Coturnix japonica: one gene and its partners. The protein of the gene in region 1 interacts with the protein of each later gene in a pairwise test. Links are inferred from orthologs where the notes say so. Each region holds a gene or a part of one and is shown on either strand. Other genes may lie near its edges. The genes, in order: EXOC1, CCDC88A, SH3BP5, SRGAP2, TRAF3IP1, CCSER2 and CEP295.

Region 1 (3,500 bases):
AGACAAAGACAAGTTAAAATGCAGTTTGCACAAACCATGCACAAGATGCAAGTTAAGCTCTAACTGGAAAGAAACATGCAAAGAACTATAAGCAGCAAGTAACTACATGGCAAACACATTTAGTTGGAGAGGTATTATCCTACAAATTGAGAGAATCTAAGCTACGTGGAAAACAGTACACTTTATTTATTGAACTTTTTCCTATACAGTGTATCAAGTTCTCCCAAATTGAGAAGTTCTTTGAATTAGAGATTTATAAGAGTAAATATTGCAAAAGACTCAGTTTTCAAGATCAACAAACATACTGATACCGGACAAAGAAATTTAAATGCATTTATATGGTTTTATACTGAGTCAGAAATAATTTACCACCTCTTCAATTAAAAAAAATAAATAAAATAAGAACAGAAACACAGTACTGCAAAAACCATTTGTATATGTAGTAGGTCTAGTTAACCACTTTGGTTGTCAGCAAATCAGGATGCTTACATTGGGAATACATCTCTGTATTCATGCCGCATCAAAAACTGATGACTTCAAATTTGAAGAGGATGAAAACAATGTATTTGTATTAAAAATTGCAAGTGTTTTGTTTTTGGTTTTTTTTTCCCTTTCCTGATTTATGCCAAATAAAACTGTTTCCTCAAGTGAAATTCAAGAGGAAATTAACAGTAAACAGGCACTGCAAAAATTTCCTTACAGCTGTAGAGTACAAAGAGAATCCCTAACCAGTAAAAGGCATTTGCATACATACACTAAAAGCAGTATGTGGTATTAGGAATATTTTGATGAGGATGGATCCCCAAAATGGAGCAGCCAACAGAACCTACTGTGACAGAATGAGAAAATACTTCTAAACGCAACAAACGTCTTAAATAACAGATGTTCTCAAGTAGCCAACACCACTGACAATTTTAATGTTAAACTCAAAGTTAATTCCAGTCTAGTTTTTAAATCTCGGGCTTGGGGCAGTTTTTGAATAAAGAAGTGTAGGTTACATATATTTACTGTATGCATATGCCATGCATTTGTCCCTTTTCTTCATAGTCCCCAGCTTCCAAATGCATGGGACAATATGACAGAACATGAAGAACCTATAGGCAAAGATCAGGCCCAGGACAATCAAAGACATCATACTAGCTTTTGAGAAGCCACATAATGTAAACATATGACAATAACAGCACACTTTCCCCACACTTGATTTTGTGGTATTTAGGTATCAAAGTCTTGGCTTCATCACAAAAATAAAATAATTAATTAAAATAAGGACTATTTAAGACAAGTGTGAATGCTTATGACTTGGATTTCTTTTTTTTCACCATAAAAATGCAGACAAAGAACCTTGCACTAGCACAGAATGCCAGAATTCTCCCAGCATCCCCACTGCGTTTGAGGCATTCCAAGAGCAGTGCTATTCCCAAAGCACACACACCAAAAAAAAGCAGGAACACACACCAACACAGCTTGGAAACAGGTCATCCTCAGTGTCTGAGTACAACTGCAGCATTATAGACCTACACTATTTTCTTACAAGTTTGCTAATAAGAAGTGATATATTTTCAATTAATGCACAACCAGTCACACTGCAATCATTATCTCCACATGGAATGCTTTGTAATTACACATCATTATAAGCTGTTTCAAACTAAATACATAACTTGATATTTAAATTAAGTGAAACCGTATTCATATAACAGCTTTTTAAAACACTGATAATTTGCTTTTCCATCTTTGCAAGTGATACCAATAAAAGCATCATTAGTTCCGAGGAATGAAGTTTTACTGTTCTAATACATTATCAAATTAGCTTGTTGCCCCAAGTAAATGGCCACTGCTATCTATCCATTTTAATGGCACAATTTCCATATATAGCATTAGAATTTGGGGGGAGTTCTCACTTCTAGTTTTGGCTTTGTGATTGGTGCCTACCAGTTTTCACAGGACTGCACAATTGGGCCAAGTTTTCTATGCGAGTCAGTCTCCAGCAAAACTCAAGCAGACAGCTTTGTATGACTGAAAACGTAACACTACAAAAGAAATCAAGCCAAGAGAACTGGTAAAAATATCCTTTGCTATTTTCTTCTTAGACTATTCTGTGCAAAGTTCAAATGTGCTTGAAATTTGCACATACACACAACAGAAGCCTTCTCAAGTGCAGCTCTTGCACTGCTGAATTGAAGGACCTCTTTCTCCAAAATGCCACAACATTTACAGACATCAGGAATATAACTGCTACAAAAACCATTTCATCACAAACACAGATCACAAATGAAGTGCTAGGATATAATGTTTTAAAAGTCACTTTATATTGGGTTTTATTTATAAAAGTGTTCGGTCCTTCCAGTAAGACAGATTTCCAGGCTTTAGGAATTTAACTGTTCTGACAGTGAGACAAGGCACCACTTGTCTTCCATGTCCAACACCTCACCAAGACTAATCCTTCCAGCTACCCGCCCCTCTTACTCAAAGCCTCACCATTATCCCACTTCCTTACTCTCATTACTTTTCTCTATTTTCCAACATCCACACAACCCAAGATAGGCCTGAAATAACTTTTTAGTTCAAACTGCACCTCACTTTTGAATTCAGAGTTTGGAAACAGGCAAACTGTGACATATTGAATATCTTCAACATTTTGAACCCGTTCATTTGAAAATACAATACAGACAATTTATATGTATTTCTATACTGTTGTTGCTACTTATTCAGTTTAGCTTCACTTCCATGCTCATACTAGACATTTTACTTTATGAGGAACACATACTCCTTCAAATAGGAAGACCTACAAGTTATTAAGTATGATATCTAGTTTTTAACTACATAGCAAATCTCACACAAGTTTGCTCATGTAAAATCAGTGTTAAAAACAGCTTTAAGTCTGAAGCCTTAATAAAAGCAGAATAGCAGAAGACATACATAAACACATGTGCTGCTCAGCCTTTCTCTACCTCCAAGAGCTGATTTTCCAAATTTCTTACAATAATAAAATAGGGTGGTTACAATACTAAAATTAAGTGGTAATTTATAAAAATCTTGAGTGTAAATTTAAAATTTGAGAAATATCAGATCCTTCCAACTTGCCCAATTTCACAATAATTCTAATGTAATTCTTTGGCCTTTGGGAAGGTAGAAATACCATCAATCATATTTTTCACCCAACTTACACCTTGCAAAAAGTAAACAATTTTAGACCACTATAAAATTGCCCCAAGATGTTCCAATGAGTATTTTCTAAGTAAATAATAAAAATCAAAGAAAGAAATACGCCTTCCTAGAAGCTTACCAAACTTTTTTCCTTCTTTGGTTGTGCCTGTCATCTTGATCTTGGCAACTTCAAAGAAATCTTTTATTTCCCTTTCATATAGACGTGATAAATAATCCATGTAATTCTTAAATGAAAAATGTAAAGTTAGTTAACAGGAATATATACTTACTTGTTTCGAATACAATTAAATAGATCTTAAAATAAAACAGCATGACAGTGCAAGTTCTACTGAATA
Region 2 (3,500 bases), on another chromosome or scaffold:
GCGCTAATTAGATTTCAGTGTGGTAGATGGAAAGTGCATCCGGGGTGCAACAGCAGAAGACAGAAAGATGACTCAAGGCATTCACAAAATACATTATTTGTTCACACACCTAAGGATTCCTTCACTCATTGATTTCTGCCCACTTTTCATCACTTTTCGGCATCTATCTGTGCTGAACTGCAGACTTTATATTAAATTTGTCATCAAGTAGTTTTGATTTTTAGAGCTCCAAAACATACTCAATCCATTAAGAAGCGTATTTTATTTATCAGAGGGGAAAAAAAAGCCCCAAACCATGTATTTGATAAGTAACACCTTGCTTTTTCTTTTAGGTATGATTATTTATTTATTTTTAAATTCCAGCTATAAAAATAGAATAACTTAGTAGTCTCTGTGGACACACCATCTACTTCCTTGACCTAATTTAGAATTAAAAAAGAAATAATAATAAATTAAATTATATATATATATATTAAAAGGCAGATTAAGAGAACCTACTCTACGCCTGATTATAAAGCCACAAGTTTAAATAGGAGAAACACAAGGTAATAAAAGCAACTCCTAGAAAGTTTGTTCTCCATCATCACTAAATATCATTTGATTGTGCTTAGTGCATATTATTTGCACATTCCTTTCTCTTCCATATGTACACCAGAATCAAAACATGACTTACATTGTTGCCATTAGCTTAAAAAAAAAAAACAACTCAGAATTGAATTTATTTTTAAAAAGAAAATACGAAAATATTACCTGAAGCTTTGCATTTTGGGTCTGTAGAGTTGTGTTTTGCTCCTGTAGACAGACAGTCTGCCTCTGAAGTGCAAGAATCTGAGCCTGAAGATTGTTATTCTGTGTCTCCAGCTGCTTTAATTGTGTTTTCAGTGCTTGCTTCTCTGCTTGGAGCGTAGCATTCTTTGAGCAACAACACAAAAGAAACTTTGAGTTCACAGGTTTTTATGGAACTTTAGAAACAGCACTTCCTCTAAAGCAAATAAAGCAGCGTGATTTACACTACTATGATCCTTTGTACTTTGGCAGCAAGGAAGAGATTTACAACATTCACAGATATTTACAGAGTGGAATAAAACCGTATCACCTTATATTACAAAAGTAACATACAATGATATCGCTACAGTTGAAGATTGAAATAATGGCTGTTATTTTACCAATGGAGAAACAGTAAGGAACTCTCAATGACGTGTATATAAAGATTATATGAGTGATTTGTGGGATTCAAAAGGGAAAAATTCAGATATACATTTTTTTTCCCCTTTTAAATGCCTGTCAAGTGCTTTATAGCATCACAAGACCCAGCTGTGCTAAGAAATACAACACAGATTCTGTAAATTAGGTGATAAATAGCACATTTCTTTAAGAATATCCTTATTCAAATTACTAGAACAGCTCAAGACAAACATTTCAAATGAGAACAGCAGAAAAAGCACATCTTACATTCCTTTCCACTTCAATTAATCTATCTTTAACTTTCAGTAACTCTCTAGTAGTTTCCTGGGTTTCTTTCTCCCACTTATTGACTGACTGATTTTCTTCTCCCTTTCTTGGAGGAGGATTCTGAACCATTCTTTCCTCTTCTTGTCTTTGTTTGAGAGCTTCATAGTTCTTTTTCACCTGAAATTATTTAGGACAATTTGCATTCAGTTTACAGTTTTCCATTTCCTATATCATATATTATTATACAACCGTACCACTTTCCAGAGTACAAAAAATGCTCTATATCTCTGTATTTCTGTGTACATTTGATGAGATACTGCAAAAATGATGTATGGATACTGATAGCTCAACCATAATAAGCCGACAAATATGACTACAAACCAAAAGGAGACTTTATTTTAGAGCTTTCAGTTGTATCTCTCAGCTTTCATAATGAAGTCCAACAACCAAAGAGACTATTTCTTTTTTTGATTAGCCATTCAGGCTCAAAGTAGTTCAGGAAAAGTAACTTAACAAGAATTAACTTTTTTTGGCATCCCAAGTCAAACAGACCTCAGAATATTTATCTAACTGACATATTCAATGATCTTCAACTTCTTTTCATGTGATTTCAATTCTGGACCTGTATTATTGTAGCTTTAAAAAGCAATTACACCTTTGCCCTGCTTTAGGCTACCCCAAGGTTACTCATCTTTTTTGCTGTCTTAAACAAAAATACCAAGCACAGAGTAAGAAACAACAACAGTAGCTGGAATATGATTCATTTAACCTTACGCAAAAGAAGACATTCTCCTTACTGTTTTAAGTTCCTGACGGAGCTGCTGGTTTAAATTTGTTGATTCTTCTAAACGAGCCTCCAAAGCAGCAATTTTTTCTTCTTTTATCTCAAGAGATTTCTTAAGAGTGGATTCCAATTTTGACTCCAAAAGTTTGTACCTATTCAAAAGCATGCCACCAAAAAAAACCATATATATGCTTTTATTTCAACAATTACTTCAGGTTCTTTAAATGTTCACGACATTCTGAAGCAGCAGGCTCAAGGGCAACAGATACACATAAGCAATACTCAGCCACAACAGTAGGGCACTGACTACTGGGAGAATTAGTGTGCGGGTGTGCTGACAGCACCCTCCTTTCTGGCTGCACTCCAGCAAATCCAGCAGGGACTGCAACTAAATTCAAATGTGAAGTATTTGGAGAGCAAGATTTTCATCAATTCCCATTTCCTGCCTGCTCCAATAGAGGAGGCATTAGGGATAAGAACGGTTCTTTGCAGGTGCATACTCATTTGATGCATGAGTGTGTGAATTGCTCACTCAGCCCAGCTGCTGCTATTTTAAGACTGTTACCACTCCTGACATGTGAAGAGGCCTTTGGGGTTTTCTTTTTTTGGTATATTTATAATATTGTAGGGCACCTAAAGAAACAATCACATATTTTGGAGAGAAGTGACCAGATTTAAGATATATTGCTTTATAACAGTATTTCCTGAAACTGTCAGTGCAGGATATTCTAATACATTATTAGACCTTTTAGAAAATAGGATTTTAGAAGGCTACACTCAAATCAGTTTTCAGCTGCTGTCACTGTACATGTGTTCAGAATTTGGAAGACATCCCGCTTTTGCCAGCTGTAGGATAAAATAGAAGCAGCCATAAACTCTTTCCTTCTTAATCTCAACTGCTGAAAAATAACTCAGATTGAAGAGAATTGCAAGAGACTCCTCAATTGACAACAGCATTAGATCTAATCAGGAACTGGAGCAGAAGACCAATGGGCAGAGAATTAGTAAGTAGAAAGCTGTCCAAAAACATTATATAGTAGGATGAGAATTCTAGATTCTAAGGTACAAGAAACAGGCAGTTTATGAAAAAGTAGAACTGATAGCATTTCATCTTTGCGAGCTGAAGCATGCATTCAGCTACAAATAAGTTCTATTACTAGAAAGTTATACACTTACATAGAAAAAGAAGGAAAAAGACTATTAACAGAGACTCAATCCCTGGCATCCCTTTGAATACTGAACAAGAAATGGTACAAATTTCTGT
Region 3 (3,500 bases), on another chromosome or scaffold:
CAGCTTCAGGGTTTTGTTTTGTTGTGTTTTTTCTTCTGTTTAATCCCATATGCCTCGTTCTCAAGTCACTCATTACGGAAGATTTCAGTGCACTAAAACACAACTAAGAATACACCCAGGAAACTTCTCTAGTACAATTTGTGCTGCAAAGGACAACATCTTTTCACAGGTTTCCAAAATCCCACAGAATCCCCTGTCCCATGAACAGACTTGACCACTAAACTCATCTCCAAGTGTGAAACCTACTTTGATTTATTGATGGCTCTTTTCAGCTTCTTTTCCAGCTGCTTCATCCTCCCCATGGCAGCATTGTATTTGGCTGCGGTCTCCTTGTGAACCAACTCACTTCTTGTCTTGGTTTGTTCTGCCTCCATGACCTGTAAGAAGGAAAACAGAGGTTGAGGGGCAAGACCCAAGCATCCATTTCTTACCATTTTTATTAACATTATATCTACAATCTCTCAAATTAGGAAGGGGCTGAAGATGAACCAGAGGGATAAGAAGACAGCATGCAGTTCAGCCTGTCCCCTCTATCTGAAGCACCAGCTACCAGAAAGCAGCCCATCCAATGAGACAGCCTTTGTCATAGAATCCATGAAGGCTGGAAAGACCACTCAGATCATCTAGTCCAGCCATCAACCCATCACCACCATACCACACTATTCAGTGTTATATCTATCCTTTCCTTGAGCACCTATAGGGGCAGTGACTCCACCAGCTCCCCTATAGCCTGTTTTGCAGAAGACAAGGAAGCTGCCTTTCCTCTTGAAAGAGACAGCCAGCCTCAAATCGTGACTTCAACATCAAAAAAGCTTTGGGCCATGAACTGGTCCACTACAATGCAGGTGGGGAGCATTATGCTGAAGATCAGCCCCTAACCAGGGCAGGCAGATGCCTAAGGCACAGCAGTCCCATTGGCTGCCCTGCCAGCATCCTACAGTCATGTTTTCCCAGTAATTCTGTCTACGGTACTTTCATTTTGCAGATTTGAGCTGCCTGAGGCACCAGAAAATCTGTTTTCTCTAATGCACTGGCAGACAGGATTTAGCAAGAGACAGAACTGATTTGTTTAAAGGAATAGAAGTGGTGACACCTCTCCATTGGTCTGACAGTAAGCAGAAAGCAGGCGGTCTTCAGGCATCCCTTGTTTCAACCCTGAAAGTATTCACAGAAAAATGCCATGGGCCAAATCTGCACTACATCCCCATCAGCTGGAAGGTCGGCTGCCAAACTGGAGGCCACAGTTACTCCTCTGCACTCACCACTTGTTATTACACCAAAGTTGCTATCTGTGAACTAAAAGATCTGATTACACATATACTACGACAACCTTCAACTGCTTCACATGTGAATAAGGCATCCACATTTGAAGTTTAAAAAATAAGAAAGAAATCTGATTGATAGCAGACATTCCCCTGAATCCCAGAAACAAGTTATAGCCTCTCATCTTGAAGTCTCAGAAAGCAAGGTTGATGCAAAGACCTTCCCTGGTGAAATATGCCAGCCAAGGCTGGTTTTAGCATGGAACTGACATAAATTAGAATGCGGTCTCCAAGGACTGCACAAAACCTGGTTTGCTCCTTTGTAGTGTGGCAAGGCAACCGCAATTTACAAATGCTGCAAGCTACAGAATAATAGAGCAACTGAAACGTGCTGATTCTTAATTAAATGCCAATCCTTGCCATCCATTCTTGGGGTGAAATCAGCATGGGATCAACCACTTCAGCACTATCAGCACCATGGTCTTCTAACAGGTGAGGTGTTCTGCCTCTCGTGGACTTCACACATCTTTCACATCAAACACCATAAAAATGCTTCATCCTGCAAGACAGATTTGGGGATGACAGATTGTAAACACCTCAAACTATGTGACAAAATACGGAATTTGCAGCCAGATATCTACGCCCACATTTGTTACCCTTTTTGGAAGGGAAAAAAAAGCTGCATACTTCATCTCCCTGGGAAATCAGCATTGGGAGGCAAGCTTCTCCTCCTGCTGTGTGGCTCTTATACGGTCATGCTACCAGCCTGCTCACATTACCCAAGTGCTCTGCCCAAGGGAGTACAGCTCACAGTGTGTTCGCTAGGCTGAAGACATGGACGTGATCCTACAGCACCTGGAAGGCTGTTCCACATCAGTATCACCACAGAGAGCTGCCTCCTGTCAGGATGTATTTAAACCTTTCACCCAGTCAAGAAGAAACAAAAAGGTCATCTGCTTCTTCACGGAAGCAGAACAGCGCCTTAACATAGAATCTGTCTGCCAGGACATGTGGATAGAAACAGCCTAGGTTCTACTCTAGGCAAGTCAGTGAAAACCCTCAGCTTTTAAAAAGGTCTTAGTAGAGGACAGATGAAGTTTGTGTGGGGGAAAAGCATCAAACAAGTTTTTGGTCACACCATCTGAATACGCTTCTTTCTAATGTAAGACAGTGCTTCTACCGACAAACCTTGCCAAGGCCATCACAGATGCAAGATCATCTCCTTCAAAAAGCCAGAGACAAGAGTGAAGATGACACCTGCTCATAGGTATCAATCACTTCCTCTTTCCTCATCTACCCTCTGTTTCCAACCCAGATGCCATGGAAAGGAGGGTCAGTACAAAATATATATATCTAGCAAATAGGTCTGCGCAAGTGGCTTTGTCCCTCTCAGCCAAGAAATCTTCATCAGCTGAGGTCAAAGATGGACTTCAGGCAAATTTCAGCAATAGCAGCTGCAAAAGAAACATTTGCCAGTGAGATTTAACAAACCTGATCATCTGAGCCAGAGAATTACTCTGGACATCTGTTTCTTTCTCTAAAAAATTAAATGGGCGACTCTTCTAGAAGAAGAAATAAAAGAGGTAAGACAGATAACGCAACACCAGGAAACCAGAAGGGCAGAATCAATAACACAAGGGATAAAGATAGTAGAGGGAAGAATGTAAACACTGTTTGACTTCCATGGTGAAAAGATGGAGAGATAAGAACAGAGAAAGTTGTGGGTATCCCTGTTGCTTATTCCACAGCTTCCTTCCCCCCTTTTTCTCCAAGTGGTTCTACCTGCAGGAAGTCTCTTTTCTCTCCACATCATGAAAGCTCCCACGCATTTTACACCAACAGATGGTACTTCATGGTGTAATAGCAAAAGGAGCTTTGCAAGCCAAATTAAAGCAAGAGGGAGCAAGCCTTCTCCCTCCTTCCTTCCCCCCCACCCTTTCCTTTTTAAAACGTCTAGTGATCAAGAGCCAAAACATGTCTTCTCCCTGCCAGAATTTTTCAATGGAACATACCTCACAAAAGACTGCAGATTGCTCTGGCAATTAGAAATCAGCAAGATCTCACGCAGGATCTTCTTTTCTGCTCCAGTTAGTCTCAAACTTCAGGTAATATTCTGTCAGCTCTTTTCTTTTGGATGCATTTATATCCAAGAATGACCTTTACATAATTATAAATGCAAAGATCTCTGCCCCTCATCCCTCCTTTCACTGGCCACCTGTGCCACCAACTCCAGGTACC
Region 4 (3,500 bases), on another chromosome or scaffold:
TGCAGTTTATTACTTCCACCAGAACCCTTGGTGGCAGTTAATATCAAGGATAATGCTCTGGTTCTTAGTGCCCATTTATTATCTGGTGCATTATTAAGATTATAGGCGAGCTTTGGTAATTCCAGTCACATAATGGATATAGATAGCTTCAATCTGAGGTTTGCCCCGTCATTAAATCTAATTATATACAATGGGGAGTTTTCCATAGGGAGCAACTCCTTAAGTGGGCATCTTCTCTTTTGTCACGCAGACAAACAGTGGCATATCTGCAGTGACAAATAGTTTGTCCCAGAAACACCCCCTGCAGTTCAGCACGAGGTGTGTGCTCCTGCTGAGCATGGTTATGATGCTCACTGCCCTCTTATGTGTGAACCGAATGCAGTTGGGCTTCAGTTGTGAGTTTACTGCTGAACCCATGTGATGTTGCACTCAGTAGAGGCTGTGTGAAGCTCTCACCACTCCAAGAAGCTGAGGTTTCTATTAGAAGCTTCCCTTCTTGACTGCTGCCTTCAGGGAGCTCTGCCTCGTTGCTGTTAGTGCAGCTGGGGGAGGTGGGATGAACTCTGTGCTGTGTAAATCTTTTCCTCCAGCTGAGTTGCATCCTTCCATCCTGATTGTTTTCTCCACTCTTCTGATCTTTCTTGCTTGTTTCTTTGTCACCCAGGTGAAGATCCTTTGGCCGGGGATCAGAATGACCATGACATGGATTCAATAGCAGGAGTTCTGAAGCTCTACTTCCGAGGGTTGGAGCACCCTCTCTTCCCCAAGGACATCTTTCATGATCTGATTGCCTGTGTCAGTAAGTATAGAGATAGGAATGAATAGATTGTGAAGACTGTATTGTGGATTTATCTGAGACAAAGAATAGAGCAAAATCCTCCACTTCTGGGGAAAAAAACCTGATCTTTAGGACCTCTTATCAGGAGGTGTGAGAAATGCTGTTTCAGAAACAGAAAGTGTTTCCAGCAGGGTTTCCTCCTGGTGTTAATAGATCTGCTGCCTGTGTGCTGACACTCCTGCGTGCTTTGTTCAGCAAGGCAGTAGCCTTCTGTCTTTGGCTTGGTAGCCACGAGGGGCCATCTATTGCCTCTTGCTACAGAATTCCAATCACAAGGGCAGTGGCAGTCCAGTTGCTGACATTTTTGGTTGTTTTTAAAGGTGGTGGGCAGGGGGTCGGTCTGTGTTTTGGTACTGGAGTCACCTCATGTTACACGGCCTCACTATTGCCATGTTGCTTAGAATGAAAGAATGATTCCATTGTTCTGGTGGTGAAATGGCCTTTGCAGTGGCGGCCTTTGAAGCAAAGCGAGAGATAACTGCTTCTAAAATGACTTGTGATTGTCTTCTCCTGCTAAATGCGTTTACAGAGTTGAATTCACATTACACAAGAAGAAAAAATCTGCTTCCAAATAAGCTCCCCTTTCTGGGATGATTTATGCTGCCCACTTGTTTCTCAGTAGGCTGCTGCACACAGAGCGTTTTGCCTCACCCCTTAACTATGTTAATTCTCCTTTGAGTGTTGTACGATTTCTTCTTCTGAACACCCACCTTTCTAAGCTAACTTGAATGAGCTTATTGTGCCAGAGCTATTGAAGGAGATGACATCCAGTGCTCCCACGCTAGGAAGGAGCCTGCAGTGAGGTTTTCTGTGTTTTGGGCCCATAATTGCAAAGGCATCACATGCAGGACCTGCAGCCTTTGGCAGGGAGCTGGTGAATCCAGGAAACAGGCTGACCCTTGTGATATGCTGGCTGCCTGTTTTAATATTTCACCTGGGAAGCATCCCATATACTGTCTGCATTTGGACTCGGTGGCAAGTTGGAGATGTGGTGATAACTCAGTGATTCTCTTTCTTCCTTTCAGCAATGGATAATTTGCAAGAGAGAGCTCTCCACATCCGAAAGGTGCTTCTGAACCTCCCTAAGACCACTCTGATCATAATGAGATACCTCTTTGCATTCCTCAATCAGTGAGTACCTGCTGCAGAGCCAGCCTTGATACCGCTGCAATCTGAGCAGCAATTTAAAGTGCAGGTGTCACTGGATGACTCCTGCATCTGTCGTCCTGAGCTTTTGAGCCTTGCTGACGCTCCTCCAAATGTTAATGCCATCTCAAAGGAACTCCAGCAATGGAAGTGAATAATGTTGCTGGCAAGCTAAGCAAAAAGTGATAAGGAGAGATCAGAAATTGCATCCCACACCACCAGCGAGAAGCACCGTGTACTAAATAGTGTGATTGACATTACTGTTTTTTAAAGGTGTCCATCACATCTGGTGGGTTTGTTAGGCAGCCCAATGCAATCATAGGATTCCTCAGGTTGGAAAAGACCTTAAAGATTATCAAGTTCAACCACAACTTCCTTCAGCACTGAGGATTTGACACCTGGGGTAACATGAAAAGAAAATGTCCTACCTGGGAGTTAGCACGTTTAAATACTTCCCTGCTAAAGTTGGTAGTGTTGAGTGATGCTGCTGTTCTTCATCACACTCATCTTAACAGCAGGAACGAAGAAAAAGGAGAGATTGCATCGGGATGTGTTTTAAATCTGTATAAGGTGGCTAAACTATAAACGGGGATTTGAGCAGGGCTGGGATGAAATCAATAAGGCTGTTAAAATCTCGTTGGGGTTTCTATTTCATCTTTTTGTAATGCTGTCAGTCTGTCTTTTCTTCACAAAACCCCAGAATATTCAAGTGCCAGCAAAGCAGCTTCAGCAGCAGGAAGCCCAAAGCCAGCCCTACTCGCTCATCTGTGTTCTCCAGCAGATGATGGTGGTGGTGATGATAACGTTTTCTGTTGTTAATCCTCCTCCCCACATCTGTCTCTTGCAGTTTATCTCAGTTCAGTGAAGAGAATATGATGGATCCCTACAATTTAGCCATCTGCTTTGGGCCAACGCTGATGTCTGTGCCTGAAGGTCACGACCAAGTCTCTTGCCAAGCCCACGTCAATGAATTGATCAAAACCATCATCATCCAACATGAGAACATCTTCCCAGGACCGAGAGAGCTGGAAGGTCCAACGTATAGCAGAGGTGGAAGCACTGAGGATTACTGGTATGATGGGTTCCACCGTGGGGAAAATGAATGGGTGCATGTTTGCTGGCCTGAATGCTCCAACCGTGCATTCTGCATTGTCTTAAACGGGATTCAGGCATCTAGTCCAGCCTCTGAGATTCAGTGTAATGCAAGTGAAGGTGTCTCTGGATAGTCATTAGCTTAGAAAGTCTCTCCAGTCCTGGTTTTGCATTCTCTGTGTAGAGTGGCTTTAGTTCAGAGGAAGGATCACTTGCAGCCGAACCCAGAAAGCTGTGGCACAGTCGGGTTTTCAGGGCAGCACTGATGGTGGGGGGAGGGAAAAGAGAGGAATGCAGAATCACCATTTCCATCCAGCTTAAAGCTCGAGAGGCCTGGCCGCATGTTCAGTCTGAAAGCAACATCTGGAAGCAATTCAGCCAGCGCGGCTCCTGTCATCTGCAGGGGAAGGTGGGGGAGTGGGGG
Region 5 (4,136 bases), on another chromosome or scaffold:
GATTTTCTATTTCTTTTGAGACGCACCTTATATTTCTGCTCTTCTAAATCAAACACCTCTTTGTAACTCTTGCAATAATTTGATCATGCATACTAGGCTTATATAAACAGGTGGTGCTTTTTATCTACTGTAGCAACACTAGATATAAAGCTAGTTAGAATCCAAACCTTTTCCACAGTGCACATCCAGCTTATGTTTCACAGTAAAGACAAAGGGCTAATAATCTTGGCTCGAATGGACAGACATCAGCCTTTGGTTATTACATCTCATCACGACGCTGTACAAAGCTGTACCATCAAACTCAGCCCATTTCACCTCCTCCCTGCCAATCTCAAGCAATTAACAAGGAAGAAGTCTGTCTCATTCAGTTAACTGAAGGGAAATAATAGCAGTGTAAACTATCAGATCATCAGACAAAGATTACCCAGACAAAACCTTCACACAGCTTGTGAATACTGTAGTATTTTGCTGTTCAAGGAGCAGTTTCTTCTCACTCATCACTTCACAGGTTTTTAGATGGATATCTAGAATGTATTTGTATGGGGACCTGGCTCAAACTCTGCTTAGGATCACATTCTATACATCTGTTATTATAGTGGTAACCCAACACAGTATATCTTCTGTAATTAAAAGTAGCTAATGAGTGTCAAACTCTGCCACAAATGAGCTCTGATAATGTATAACACAAATACATATCTCTGTAATGATGTAGATGGAGATGTCATACCTTTTTTAAGCAACACTTCCCAATGGCTTGCAGAAACTCATTTGTTTTCTCAGGTTCGTGCCCAGCCACAACACGTGCTGGTTTTACTGACAGTGGCTCTCCTGTCACCATTACCACAGCATCGATGGCCTTCTGAAGGAAGCTGATTTTGGCATCTTTATCCTAGAAAAACAATTCAGAAATAGCTGTGAGATCCTATAATAACTCCGTACACCACCTCAAGGTTAGGAAACCTCTGACAGGAGGAATCAGCTGCACAACATTCTATTAAGCACATAATCATAGACTCATGGAATCACAGAATCATAAGATGCCTCAGATTGGAAGGGATCTCAAGGATCATCAAGTTCCAACCCCCTGCCACAGGCAGGGCCACCAACCTCCAGATCTGGTACTAGACCAGGTTGCCCAGGGTCCCATCCAACCTGGTTTACATACACATCATATAAAGCTGACAGGAAACACAACTCACTGAGATCCATCCAGCTGCACGCTCTGTCAGTTTGATGCAGTTTACAGATAATTCCCGCCTACGAAATCTGCTTTTTGGATCCACAAATAAAATGGACAGTGGTCTCCAAAAAGAGAATTAACCATGTACTAAGCTACTTTTCACGGAACCAATTATCAGCCCTAGGAAGTGAATAAACCACCCATTTAACTAGCTATAGGCGAGCCAGTAGCTTTAGTTGCTATGTTAAACAATCACCAATGGCTGTAGCTGTTTAACTAGCAACACACAACATGCATTATCTGCCATGAGTAAGTGACGAGTTTTGAGCCTAGCTGGTATTGGGAGAAGGCAGCATGCATTGCTTAGCAAAAGAGGCAAGCACTAGAAGGTGAGCAAACACAGACTTGAGTCACCCTCGCACTTAAGAAAAGCATTTTCACTAATAGCATTACTTTCAGTAATCAGACTTTCATAATGGCTGTAATAATGGTAATAAGACTGTTGTAGAACACGCATAACAAGATGCATTATTAAGCAATAATATCTTCTGTATGCGTGTATAAAGTGCATATATATATATATATGGATCCAGAGAAACACTCAAGCAGTGTTCTGTTACTTGAGGGGAGCTTATAAACAGCAGGGAGACCAGCTTCACACACAGTCTGATAGTGACAGGACAATGGGGAATGGCTTTAAACTAAAAGAGGGGAAATCTAGGTTAGATGTTAGGAGGAAACAGTGAGGCTGCCTGGAGAAGGGCAGTGCTCAAAGCCAGGTTGGACGGGGCACTGGGGCAATGTGTTCTGTGGGAGGTGGCCTATGGCAGGGTTTGGGCTTTGGGGTCCCTTCCAACTCAGAACATTCTGATACACCTCAACATATCCAAAGAAAGCCCACCATACCTCCCACTGTTTCTACACCATGCCTGAATAAAGCAATGGAAGCTGAACACAGGAAAGAATCACACACAGAATCACAGAATTACCCGGGTTGGAAGGGACCTCAAAGACCGCAGGTGCCTTGCAGCACGTCTCAGAGCCCGTTTTTATTCAGGCTGAATAAACAAGGAAGCTTCGTACCCACCTTGACATTATCTGACTTCAATTCAAAATCCGTGTAAAGCCCTTTCATGAAGCCCGTCACTCTAATCACCTTGAGAAGACAAGGAAAAGGATCGAGTTAAGGGCACTCGAAGCTCCTACAGAACAGCATTAGGCGGCACTAGACCGTGGCCTTATCATTAATGATAACTATATTAGAGCAGAAGGCTGCTGCCTTCCAGCACGGCGCGTCACACAACACGAGCCGGGACCCCACGCCCCTCCGTGCCCCCCCCAGGCGGGGTTACACCCCCAGCCGCCAGGGGGCGCCCTGCTCAGGGGGCGCCGACTCTCCGAGCCCCGCCGGCGGGGAGGCCCACCTCGGTGATGACGTCGTGCAGGTATCGGAATGGCGGCTTACTCAGCAGCCGCTCCGTCAAGGGCGGTTTGCGGATCACTCGCCCCAGACTCTCCTGTGTCCGTCGTACCACCGCCTCGTTCATTGCGACGGCGGGGACGGCGCCGCCGCCGGCTCTCAGCGTTCCCAGCCTGCCCCGCGGCGCAACGCGCCTCACTGCGCATGCTCGGAGCCGCAGCACGCGGTTGCTAAGCACCGCGCAGCCATAGCAACAGGCACCGCCGCCATCTTAGGCCCTGCCTACGTTATGTGAATATAACCAGGGTCAACAAGGCCGAGTGTGAGGTGTTGCACTTGGGTCAATGCACTGCAGATATATATATACATATAGGAGAAGTATCTAATCCCATACAACCTGTCAAATGCAGTGGTTGTATTAATAACTATCAAACAGTGAAGCACCGGTGCTCAGTTAATATGTCTTTTGGTGATTATTAATTTTTAGTCATTGTTCTTTAAATAAAGTACAACAGACTGACACACTCGGAAATTAATGAGGTTCCCAGACAGGCTGTGACTACAGGATCCTGTAATCCTAGGAAGAAGAAAAGGTGTTGACAGCTTCTACATCCAAGAGGTCTCAGAGGAAACAGACTGGGAAGAAGCTGCTCTAGGGAAGAGGGTTGTTTATGTTGGAATCATATGGTTGATCTGGATTTCTGCCACCAGCTCTATGAAAGTGTCTGTAATGCCTGAGAATGAATCGTGGGGGTTTAGTTCAGCTTGACCTTTGGCATGCTCAATTTGCTGAAGAGGCAGTGCCCCAAGGAAGCACAGCTCAGTTAATTGAGGAATCAAAAGCAAGGAACTCACTAAGACTCCATGAGTCCCCGTGGTACTAAGGGGAGGCACAGCAATTTAAAAGGTATCCTAACACTGTAACAGATTGCTTGAGGTTTAGTCTGGAGACTCTTCTGCTGGGGAATATACATGCATGTTGACAACAGAAAGCACCCTGTCTGTCTCTTCAAAGTTGTGCCCACTTAAAGTCTGAATTCAGTGGCTGTGTGCCTTTGTGTTACCAGGCAGAAGCAGGAGCCCAAAGCTGCCTTTCACAGGCAGGATTTCTAGCGTGGCTAAGAGCAGTGTTGTGCTCAGGAGAGAAGTCCTGACACCGTGTGCTTGGGAACATCCTCTTTCTCCTATGATTTTCATTGGGTTACACAGGTTATACTCAGATGTCCAAGAATACCTTAGGCAGAGAAACTCTAACTGGGTATTACTGCAGAGTACTTGTTTTGAAACAAGAACTGAAGGTGGACACCCAAACCCACTACCACCTCTATAAAAAGGAGGACCACAACAGCCTTATTCCAGAGGTGGAAATGAACAGCCACACCTGAATACAGCCTCTTACTATGGCCTGTCTTCAGCTAAGAGAAATGGCAGAGGAAAGGCCCATCACCAGTTGTGACCTATAGCTATACAAAATTAAGCTTATCATCAAACTGCCACACACAAAAGGGATAATGGGCAATTATTCTGAGTCACCAG
Region 6 (4,032 bases), on another chromosome or scaffold:
AAGTGGATGAAATGAGCTTCTAGTCCATCTCCCAGCACAATAACATCCATTTAAATCAATTTAGTGTAAAATCAATTGAACAGAACGTCCTCAAGATGGAGACACATCAAATATTAAAATGATACGGAAAGATAGCGCACTCGATCATGGCCAGATCTTAGCCTGTAGTCTGACACTAGGACTGTCAAGACTGTCCTCTTACTTAGGCAGTCAGAAGTTCAAGCTGTACAAGTAATGTGTCCCTTTCTGAAGTTATTCATCACAGCTATGAGTTTTGCATCTTAATTGTTAGGCTACACGAGCACTGTGGCAATTTGTTAGATGTCTGAACACATAGTAGAGGTTCTCAACTCTAGGCTGGGCTATCTTTCTTTTCATATATATACATATACCACCACTTACAGGTCAGCAGACAGTGTATGTGCCTCCCCTGTGCTGGTATAAGTGTTCATGGTCCTCTGGTCTGGCAGAAAAGGGTATTTACAGTGCTGAGGATGAAGACATTACTTGCCAGCACCTGAGAAAAGCAGTGGGAATTTAAGAACACCCTAGTCAGCCTGTGATATAATTTATCTTAATTTTGGGAAGGAAATTGAGAAGTTGGAAGGAAATTTCAGTGGTCATTTCGTACAAAGCAGGAACAAGTCAAATCTGTGCTAATGCTGTTGATGTTGATGTTAGTGCTCAGAAGCTGAGAATGACTGAAAGAGGATGACTGTGCGGTTAAAGCAAGGCCGCCTGACTCAGGAAATCTGAGCTCATTTCCTGGCTTTGCTATCTCTTTAGCTTTGCGCAAGAGATTTAATCTCTCCACTTAGGACTTTTTTTTTTTTTCTTTCTTTCTTTCTTCCTGTACCATAGGGGAACAATTACGCTTCAAGTTATTCTAAGAATAAATCCATTAATGCGACGGGTACATTCAAGTTCAGGCGAGAAGACATACAAAGCCTTTGGCTGTTGCTCCTTATTTTAAAGAAGGCCTTTATTCTGCCTAGGGGGCAGATGTATCAGGGTTCTCACAGGGCCGCACGGTCTACATGCTGGGCTACCTGCAGGCCTATCTGCCTAAGCTCTGACATGCAGCCTGTTGTTCTACCTGCCTAATGGCCCCGTTACGGGGCAGAGCGATGCGCACATCGCACACACCGACGGGAGCGGGCGGGGCTGGAGGGCTGGGCTCGCACCGCCCGCCGTGACGCCGGGTGGGCCGGGGGATGAGGAAGGGAGGCGGCGGGCATGCGTGGAAAGGGCTGAGCGCTCCGGCCCTCCCTCCTCGGGGCCGCCGGGCGGGGCGTTTTGCGGCCGCTACCTGGGTGCGTGGAGCGGCGCGGCTCGGATCGAGGACGGGGCGGCTCCGGCTGTGCCCGGCACGGCGGTGAGTGCCGTGTCCGTCCGTGGCGCTGCGCTGCTGAGCGACCCTCGGAGTCCCTCGGCTGGGGGCGGTGGGTGGCGGCAGGAGGGGGCTGCGGCATCGCCGGCTCCGCAGGCCGTGCGGCTGGAGGCAGGGAGGGGCGGGGAGGGCTCTCCTTGCGGGCTCAGCCGCACCCTCGGGGACGCTGCGTGCCCCAGGTTTGTGCGGGGGGCAGGTAGGAAGCGGCTTTAGGCAAAAAGAACCCGGCGCACGGCTGTTTGAATACAGCAATTAAAAGCAACGCTGAGATGTTCTTCTCCGTGATGTATTTCAGCTGTACCGCGGCTCAGATTTTCCTTGAGCCGTCCGGAGCACGTTAGGCGTGTTGCGCGGTGACACAGCTTTGCTTGCATCACCGTGCCGCTGCCTGCACTTTGACACGCCATGAGCCGCCGGCAGCCGCAGCCCTCAGCTCGCAGCACATCGGCTGCACCGCGAGGGGTGCGTGGGAGCTCGGTGCTGTAGTGCGATCCAGGCCGTACAGCGGTTTGAGGTGAGGACGGGAGCTGTGTTATGCCGGTGCGGGGAGCGGGTTTGTTTCTGTTGTACGTGGGCCTCCAGCCTTGATTTGATGCAGAACAGGAAGTTCTGGCGTTATCACGGTGCTGGAAACACATTGAGATGGCATCCAAGGTCCCTTTTGTTGTGTTTTTATAACGGGGAACGCTAGAGGAATTTCTTGAAACTTGGAAAATATGTTTTCTGTACAGGGTTAGAAGTTGGAAATGCTTCATCATGTTAGTGTGACGCAGTGAGTATTTAATCCTGTTTAGTCATACTGAATGAAACTGACAGTTTCTCAAGCATTTATAGGCTCGCATACCCCTAAATGGTATGGGCCCACCTAGAATGTAATACTTCCAAGCTGAAGAGGTGTCACCAAGCAGATGGTAAGCTGGGATCTGTGTCAGCATACAGCTTGCAGCAGCTACAATGTAAGTTTAATCTTTGCTCATAGTCAACACCTTTCAGAATAGCGATCTCTATGTCTGCGCTCCAGAAATGGCTGAGTGGTGTCTTTAATCATAAGGCTGCTTTAAAAAGTAGGAATGTTTAGGGTTTTGGAGGGTTCTACAGTTACTTTTTGTGCATCATGACACCTTGTGTTTCTGAATTTAATAATTAATATGTATGACTATATGAAACATGAATAGTAATGACCACAATTAACATGATGGTCTCAATTAACATGGTGTTATACTAAGAAGTAATCCTGTTTAATGGAACTGCTCGTGTAAAAGCTTGCTGGAGTAAAACCTATTAGTTTTGGACCTGATCATCCTTTAAGATGGATTGGTTATTTGGAGTAAACCAGTTGCAAAGAAGAGCTGGCACAGGCATTTCTCTACATAAAGTCATCACACCTTCGGTCGTCAAAAGAACATTGTTTGTCTGCAGTTGTTAAAGAATGTAGGTCTGTGGGAATGGAGGAGACAAGAGGGAGCGAAAGGTTACAGCTGTGGCTGTGGTGTTTCCTTTTTGCCACTGTTGTGAATTGTAAACTGCCATCGCCTTAATTAGAAGCTTTCAAGCAGGATTAAATTCTTTGCCAACAAGGATGCTAACAAGATGAAAATACTAATGGTGGTTTTGATAATTAGGTTTAAAATCCTGTATTGTGATTCAATTGAAGCAATACAGAGGCTTATGTAAATCTCTGTATAACTGAACGTGTGTATGTTAAAATGAAATCAGAACAGCATTAAAGTAATTATTCCAAAGGTGAAGCCTTAGTCAGTGTAGGTCTCTGTATTTCTTCTTACCTCTGGGACACATATTGAATCTCAATTCAGAACTTCTGTCAAATTAGATGCAGTTTTGAGGATGCTCAGATCCTACCATTCTTAGCTTAAAGCAGCTTGATTCACAGAGCTGGGTTTTACTTTCTAGCTATTTTCCCTCTGTTCTGAAGGGGGGGATTCAGCTGGAACTCTTCTATTGACAGTACTGTATAGTGAGACAAGAATCCTGGGGCTGGGGGGTGTGTTTCTCTGGTTATGTGGGGAACTGGTGACACAAGTTCTCAGTGAAATGCCTTTTTCACAGCACAGTTTGTTGGGATTTTCATGTGCTCTTAGTCCATGATGATTTGAGGTAGTGTTCTGCAGAGTGCATTTTAATGGCTTTGATTGAAGAGGAAGCATGGCTACTGCTGGCAGTGTTTGCTCTGCTTGCATTGCCTTAGTTTTCTAGCCAGAGGAAAACAGCTGGTGAGATTTTACTTTAATGTGGTGGTTGAACAAGTTTGGGGTCTGGAAGAACCCTTTAATTGCAAACAATTTCTGACTTGCAAAAGAACTCCTATGTTTTAGGCTTCGTTGGCCCAGATGGCTTGTGGCACACTCAGCATAAGTTAAGCTGAACATCATGGGAGTGTGTCCCTGAGTATCCTGGGTTCTCTTGGCTCAGAAATACCACGTGTGGTTTGGGCTCTGTATAGATAGAAAGATTCCCAATAGACTATGAATTTGTGTGATACTTGGTTTCAGTTTGTGAATCATATTAATGATAGAAATACATGTAAGAAAAACTAGACTTTACATAGTAATACTATTACATAGGCTTGTTAATCAGTGTTTTTTGATGAGTTGAGTTCTTGCTTCCAGCTAACATGCATCTCA
Region 7 (3,500 bases), on another chromosome or scaffold:
ATCTCATCATATGCAATAGTTACACAGAAAACACTATAGTAACATTATTGTTCTTGCAGCTAAAATAATTATTTGCAGTATTCTAGTGAACTGAAGTGTATTAGAAAAAGCAATTTCTACTTCAAACTTGTATGTCAGAACATTCATCATCAGTGGCGAGCATCATAAACCACTTAACTTTGACACTTCGTATACATTATGGAATTTTGGTACTTAAACATTTTAGCTTATACTAACATACAATCTCTTTTCTTCTACTACAGAACAAGAAAGCATTACTTTCTGATTCACCGGGGACCTCCTCCTTTACCATCTGTCCCGATTCTTGCTGGCCGTCACAAACAGATTCTTGCTCCAAAGAGAGATCGAGATCATTATCTTGAGATTTATCAGAAGGGGATGGCAAAGGCTGCGGTTCAAACTGCAAAATCAAGTCTCCTTTCATTTCTAATTAGAGGAACACAAACACAAAAAAGTGACCAATTAGAATAAAATACTCACAGGCTCAGTCAAGAACTTGCTGGCATAAGTACATACGTGTCTTTGACAGACAACTAGAGACAAGAGGATCCAAGGTCAGTTACTGCTGGCATTGATAATGTGTACGTGTTTGCATAGACGCTGCATCTGTGCATCAAGAGATGGAGTGAAGCAGCAGTTCATGTGTCCAGACGCCAGCTGCTGGGGAGACTAAGGAACCAGCACTAGCTGGGTAGAATGATTATTTAAAGCCACCTTACTAAGAGATCCATAGCACATGTTGAGCACAGCAGTGCATGTATGGACACTCCAGGGTAAATGGAAGGCTACAAGGTCTGTGATCAGCTACTGGACAGAATGAGTATCTAGTTTTAAGTACCAGAGTATCCATTCTGAGCTGAGAGTGCTGTAAGGTATGTGTATGCATATCTGTAAACAAGGGTGCTCAAGCACAAGAAGCTGGAGTAGGGCTGTGAGCCTCAGCACCTTCTAAGCTCAGATGCCAGCAACTGGGTAGGTCTGGGATGCAGGGATAAGATACTGGGTTGACAGTGTCTCAAAGTAACTTCTGGAGGGATCAGTACTGTGCAGATGTACTTCCCATAGGCCTCCATCCTGCTCAGACAGAGCAGGGAACAGGATGAAGCCATCTGTACTGTTTGAGAGCACACCCACCAGGAAAAAATGTGCACCCTCACTACTTGCTGTACCTGGGAACACGCAGCTGCAGCAGCCTCTCATCTGCTGGGCAGCCAGAGTCAGAATCCTCCCACAGATTACTCACTTCTGTCCTCGTTGTACATATCTTCAAAGGCAAACTCCAATTCTCTCTGCCAGTCTTCTTTCATTTCCACGCGTTTATATCCAGGTACAAAAAGTTGAGGTGGCATCTGAGCTACCATCTGCCTTCTGCGCATTTGATCCATTCTCTGCATTTGTTCAAGTTCTTTCAGTAGCCTTTCCCTGTCCTTCAAGTAAGGGGTGAGAAGCACTCGGCATTAACTTTCAGACAGCAGTGCATCAGAACTGATAAAATACTTCCATTTGGATACCGTGAAGTTAACTTGAGGTGTTTATAATTAAACTAATCTTATCCTAGGAAGCAGGTGCTTCCCTGGCAGAAGACCCTATCTGACCTTTAAACACAAGAGCGCTTCCAATGTAGAAATGCTAATTTCCCAAATATTTGTGACACTAACAGACAATACACCTCAGAATGTAGCTGTAGAGCTTTCACTTCTCAGGGGAAATGACTTCCATATTTCCAGACTTTTACAATACAAGTGTATGCCTTTCCACTGCAGAAGCAGTCCTCCTAACAGGTCACAGCTGGTGCTGCAGACAGCATCATTCAGAAGCCCCTGCAGTTGGGGGAGAGTAAGTTCATGTTATCTCCACCTCTTGCTGTACTGGGTAGCAAAAGGTCATTACACCTCTTGTCTGAATGGGATACAAAGGTGAGGAAAGTCTGAGAGAAGCACCAACCGCTGAATGAATACTTTAAGCACTATTTTCCAATGTAAAATGAACTGTAAAATGTCAGAGATGGAGGAGGACTGAAAACGAGTCTATAGATTTCAATTTTCTTCAAAGGACATTAGTGAGATTTAGGGTGGCTGACATTCTCAGAGGTGCTTTGAAAAATGATACCCATCATTCTGGACACAATTTAAAATCATTACATGCTTTCTCCTCAGTCTCACAGAGCTATAATGTAAACAAGCTTTTAAACAATGGCAGTATGAGCAGTTGATGAAATGAAGACTCAAACCACTGTTCTGCCAGTTCTGTGATTAATTACCTAAATCCTTCAAGCAGTTCACTCATGAGGCATTTCACCTCAGAAGCACCTTTATAACCAAAAAGTCAAGCACAGCAAACAGTCATCAAGTACAGAACTTGCAACTTTGTCAAGGCTCTTTTCATTCAAAGAGAAATGTGTTTTTTTCCAACACTGTCATGTATTTAAAACACAAGAATTCCATTTCTACTTCCCTCTGAACTGACACAGAGGATTCCCCTGACCTCAGCTACTATGTAAACAAACAGCAAATACTTCAGATAAAGACACTGTAATGTTATGAAGAGCTATGGCACAAGAAAAGCTGACTTGTAATGTCTACTCTGCATCCAAATATATTTCCAATTTATCTTGGTGAAAGATCACCCTATAGGCCTCCAGACAGCTCAAACAAGCAAGCTGAGTTTGATCATGTTTCAAAAGCATTCTGAAAACCCTATTAAATCCGAACATCTTCCTCTTGAAACTGCAGTTGCTCCGGCAAATACCTACCTATAGCTTACTTAACATTTGGCATTAAAAAACAGGTACTGGTATGACATTTAATGTCTGTTTTGCCTACCTGAGCCAAATGGACCTTCTTCAAGGCATGACTTCCTCTCAGATGTGCCTTCTCAAGCTGCTCTCTTCTCTCCCTCTCTGTCTCCTCGTGTAGCTCCTTCAAACGCTTCACCTCCTCTTCAGCTGCCAACCGAGCATCTGGCTGGCAGACAATTACTAGTTTAGTCCACTGAGTTCTTCTGGTACTTTAAAGAGTACTTAATATTGAGTAATTCTATAGCAAAAACACTCGGAATTTACAAAAAAAGCAGAGAATGCAATATGAACTGCCCTCAATAACTTTATAGTGTTCAGTTGCAGGCAGGACCAAACAATATTTACACATAGGAAAAAAAAAAAAAAAAAGCAAACATACACATTTTACAAGGGTTAGGTATTAAAGTATTCTAGTTTCAAACTCCACTAGAGATGATTGTTCATCCATTTTTTATCGCAGTGATTATTCTTCCTACAACATCAGGTGCAAATGAATAATACCATCAATACTACAGGTTTACTACTTGTATGCTTAAAGGTTTTATGTTAGAAAATAACCAAAATGTTTCCATTCTCATTTGAGAAACAAGAAAAAGATCTCCAAGTTTTAAGGAAGTCCATCTTTTACTTCTCCAGCTCCTTCTCTTCTTCTGATCAAACTTAGACCTGGGACTATACTGAA

The links.
Region 2: the proteins of EXOC1 (region 1) and CCDC88A interact in a two-hybrid assay, tested with the Homo sapiens proteins (2 studies listed by BioGRID and IntAct). The link is inferred for Coturnix japonica from reciprocal best matches to the Homo sapiens genes EXOC1 and CCDC88A.
Region 3: the proteins of EXOC1 (region 1) and SH3BP5 interact in a two-hybrid assay, tested with the Homo sapiens proteins (2 studies listed by BioGRID and IntAct). The link is inferred for Coturnix japonica from reciprocal best matches to the Homo sapiens genes EXOC1 and SH3BP5.
Region 4: the proteins of EXOC1 (region 1) and SRGAP2 interact in a two-hybrid assay, tested with the Homo sapiens proteins (2 studies listed by BioGRID and IntAct). The link is inferred for Coturnix japonica from reciprocal best matches to the Homo sapiens genes EXOC1 and SRGAP2.
Region 5: the proteins of EXOC1 (region 1) and TRAF3IP1 interact in a two-hybrid assay, tested with the Homo sapiens proteins (2 studies listed by BioGRID and IntAct). The link is inferred for Coturnix japonica from reciprocal best matches to the Homo sapiens genes EXOC1 and TRAF3IP1.
Region 6: the proteins of EXOC1 (region 1) and CCSER2 interact in a two-hybrid assay, tested with the Homo sapiens proteins (2 studies listed by BioGRID and IntAct). The link is inferred for Coturnix japonica from reciprocal best matches to the Homo sapiens genes EXOC1 and CCSER2.
Region 7: the proteins of EXOC1 (region 1) and CEP295 interact in a two-hybrid assay, tested with the Homo sapiens proteins (2 studies listed by BioGRID and IntAct). The link is inferred for Coturnix japonica from reciprocal best matches to the Homo sapiens genes EXOC1 and CEP295.

Annotation. Positions count from the first base shown.
Region 1 is NC_029519.1:58,594,265-58,597,764, forward strand, and holds part of EXOC1 (exocyst complex component 1), read right to left. Parts: intron 3,390-3,500; coding exon 3,284-3,389; intron 1-3,283.
Region 2 is NC_029518.1:7,440,475-7,443,974, reverse strand, and holds part of CCDC88A (girdin), read right to left. Parts: intron 2,389-3,500; coding exon 2,250-2,388; intron 1,630-2,249; coding exon 1,453-1,629; intron 913-1,452; coding exon 751-912; intron 1-750. UniProt on the Homo sapiens protein: Bifunctional modulator of guanine nucleotide-binding proteins (G proteins). Acts as a non-receptor guanine nucleotide exchange factor which binds to and activates guanine nucleotide-binding protein G(i) alpha subunits.
Region 3 is NC_029517.1:38,182,618-38,186,117, reverse strand, and holds part of SH3BP5 (SH3 domain-binding protein 5), read right to left. Parts: intron 378-3,500; coding exon 247-377; intron 1-246. UniProt on the Homo sapiens protein: Functions as a guanine nucleotide exchange factor (GEF) with specificity for RAB11A and RAB25. Inhibits the auto- and transphosphorylation activity of BTK. Plays a negative regulatory role in BTK-related cytoplasmic signaling in B-cells.
Region 4 is NC_029541.1:2,704,039-2,707,538, forward strand, and holds part of SRGAP2 (SLIT-ROBO Rho GTPase-activating protein 2), read left to right. Parts: intron 1-664; coding exon 665-799; intron 800-1,863; coding exon 1,864-1,969; intron 1,970-2,831; coding exon 2,832-3,056; intron 3,057-3,500. UniProt on the Homo sapiens protein: Postsynaptic RAC1 GTPase activating protein (GAP) that plays a key role in neuronal morphogenesis and migration mainly during development of the cerebral cortex. Regulates excitatory and inhibitory synapse maturation and density in cortical pyramidal neurons.
Region 5 is NC_029522.1:3,293,141-3,297,276, forward strand, and holds the start of TRAF3IP1 (TRAF3-interacting protein 1), read right to left. Parts: upstream 2,801-4,136; 5' UTR 2,728-2,800; coding exon 2,605-2,727; intron 2,337-2,604; coding exon 2,268-2,336; intron 890-2,267; coding exon 728-889; intron 1-727.
Region 6 is NC_029521.1:365,817-369,848, forward strand, and holds the start of CCSER2 (serine-rich coiled-coil domain-containing protein 2), read left to right. Parts: upstream 1-1,232; 5' UTR 1,233-1,375; intron 1,376-1,685; exon of another isoform or gene 1,686-1,904; intron 1,905-4,032. UniProt on the Homo sapiens protein: Microtubule-binding protein which might play a role in microtubule bundling.
Region 7 is NC_029516.1:166,208,461-166,211,960, forward strand, and holds part of CEP295 (centrosomal protein of 295 kDa), read right to left. Parts: intron 2,985-3,500; coding exon 2,844-2,984; intron 1,449-2,843; coding exon 1,265-1,448; intron 448-1,264; coding exon 280-447; intron 1-279. UniProt on the Homo sapiens protein: Centriole-enriched microtubule-binding protein involved in centriole biogenesis.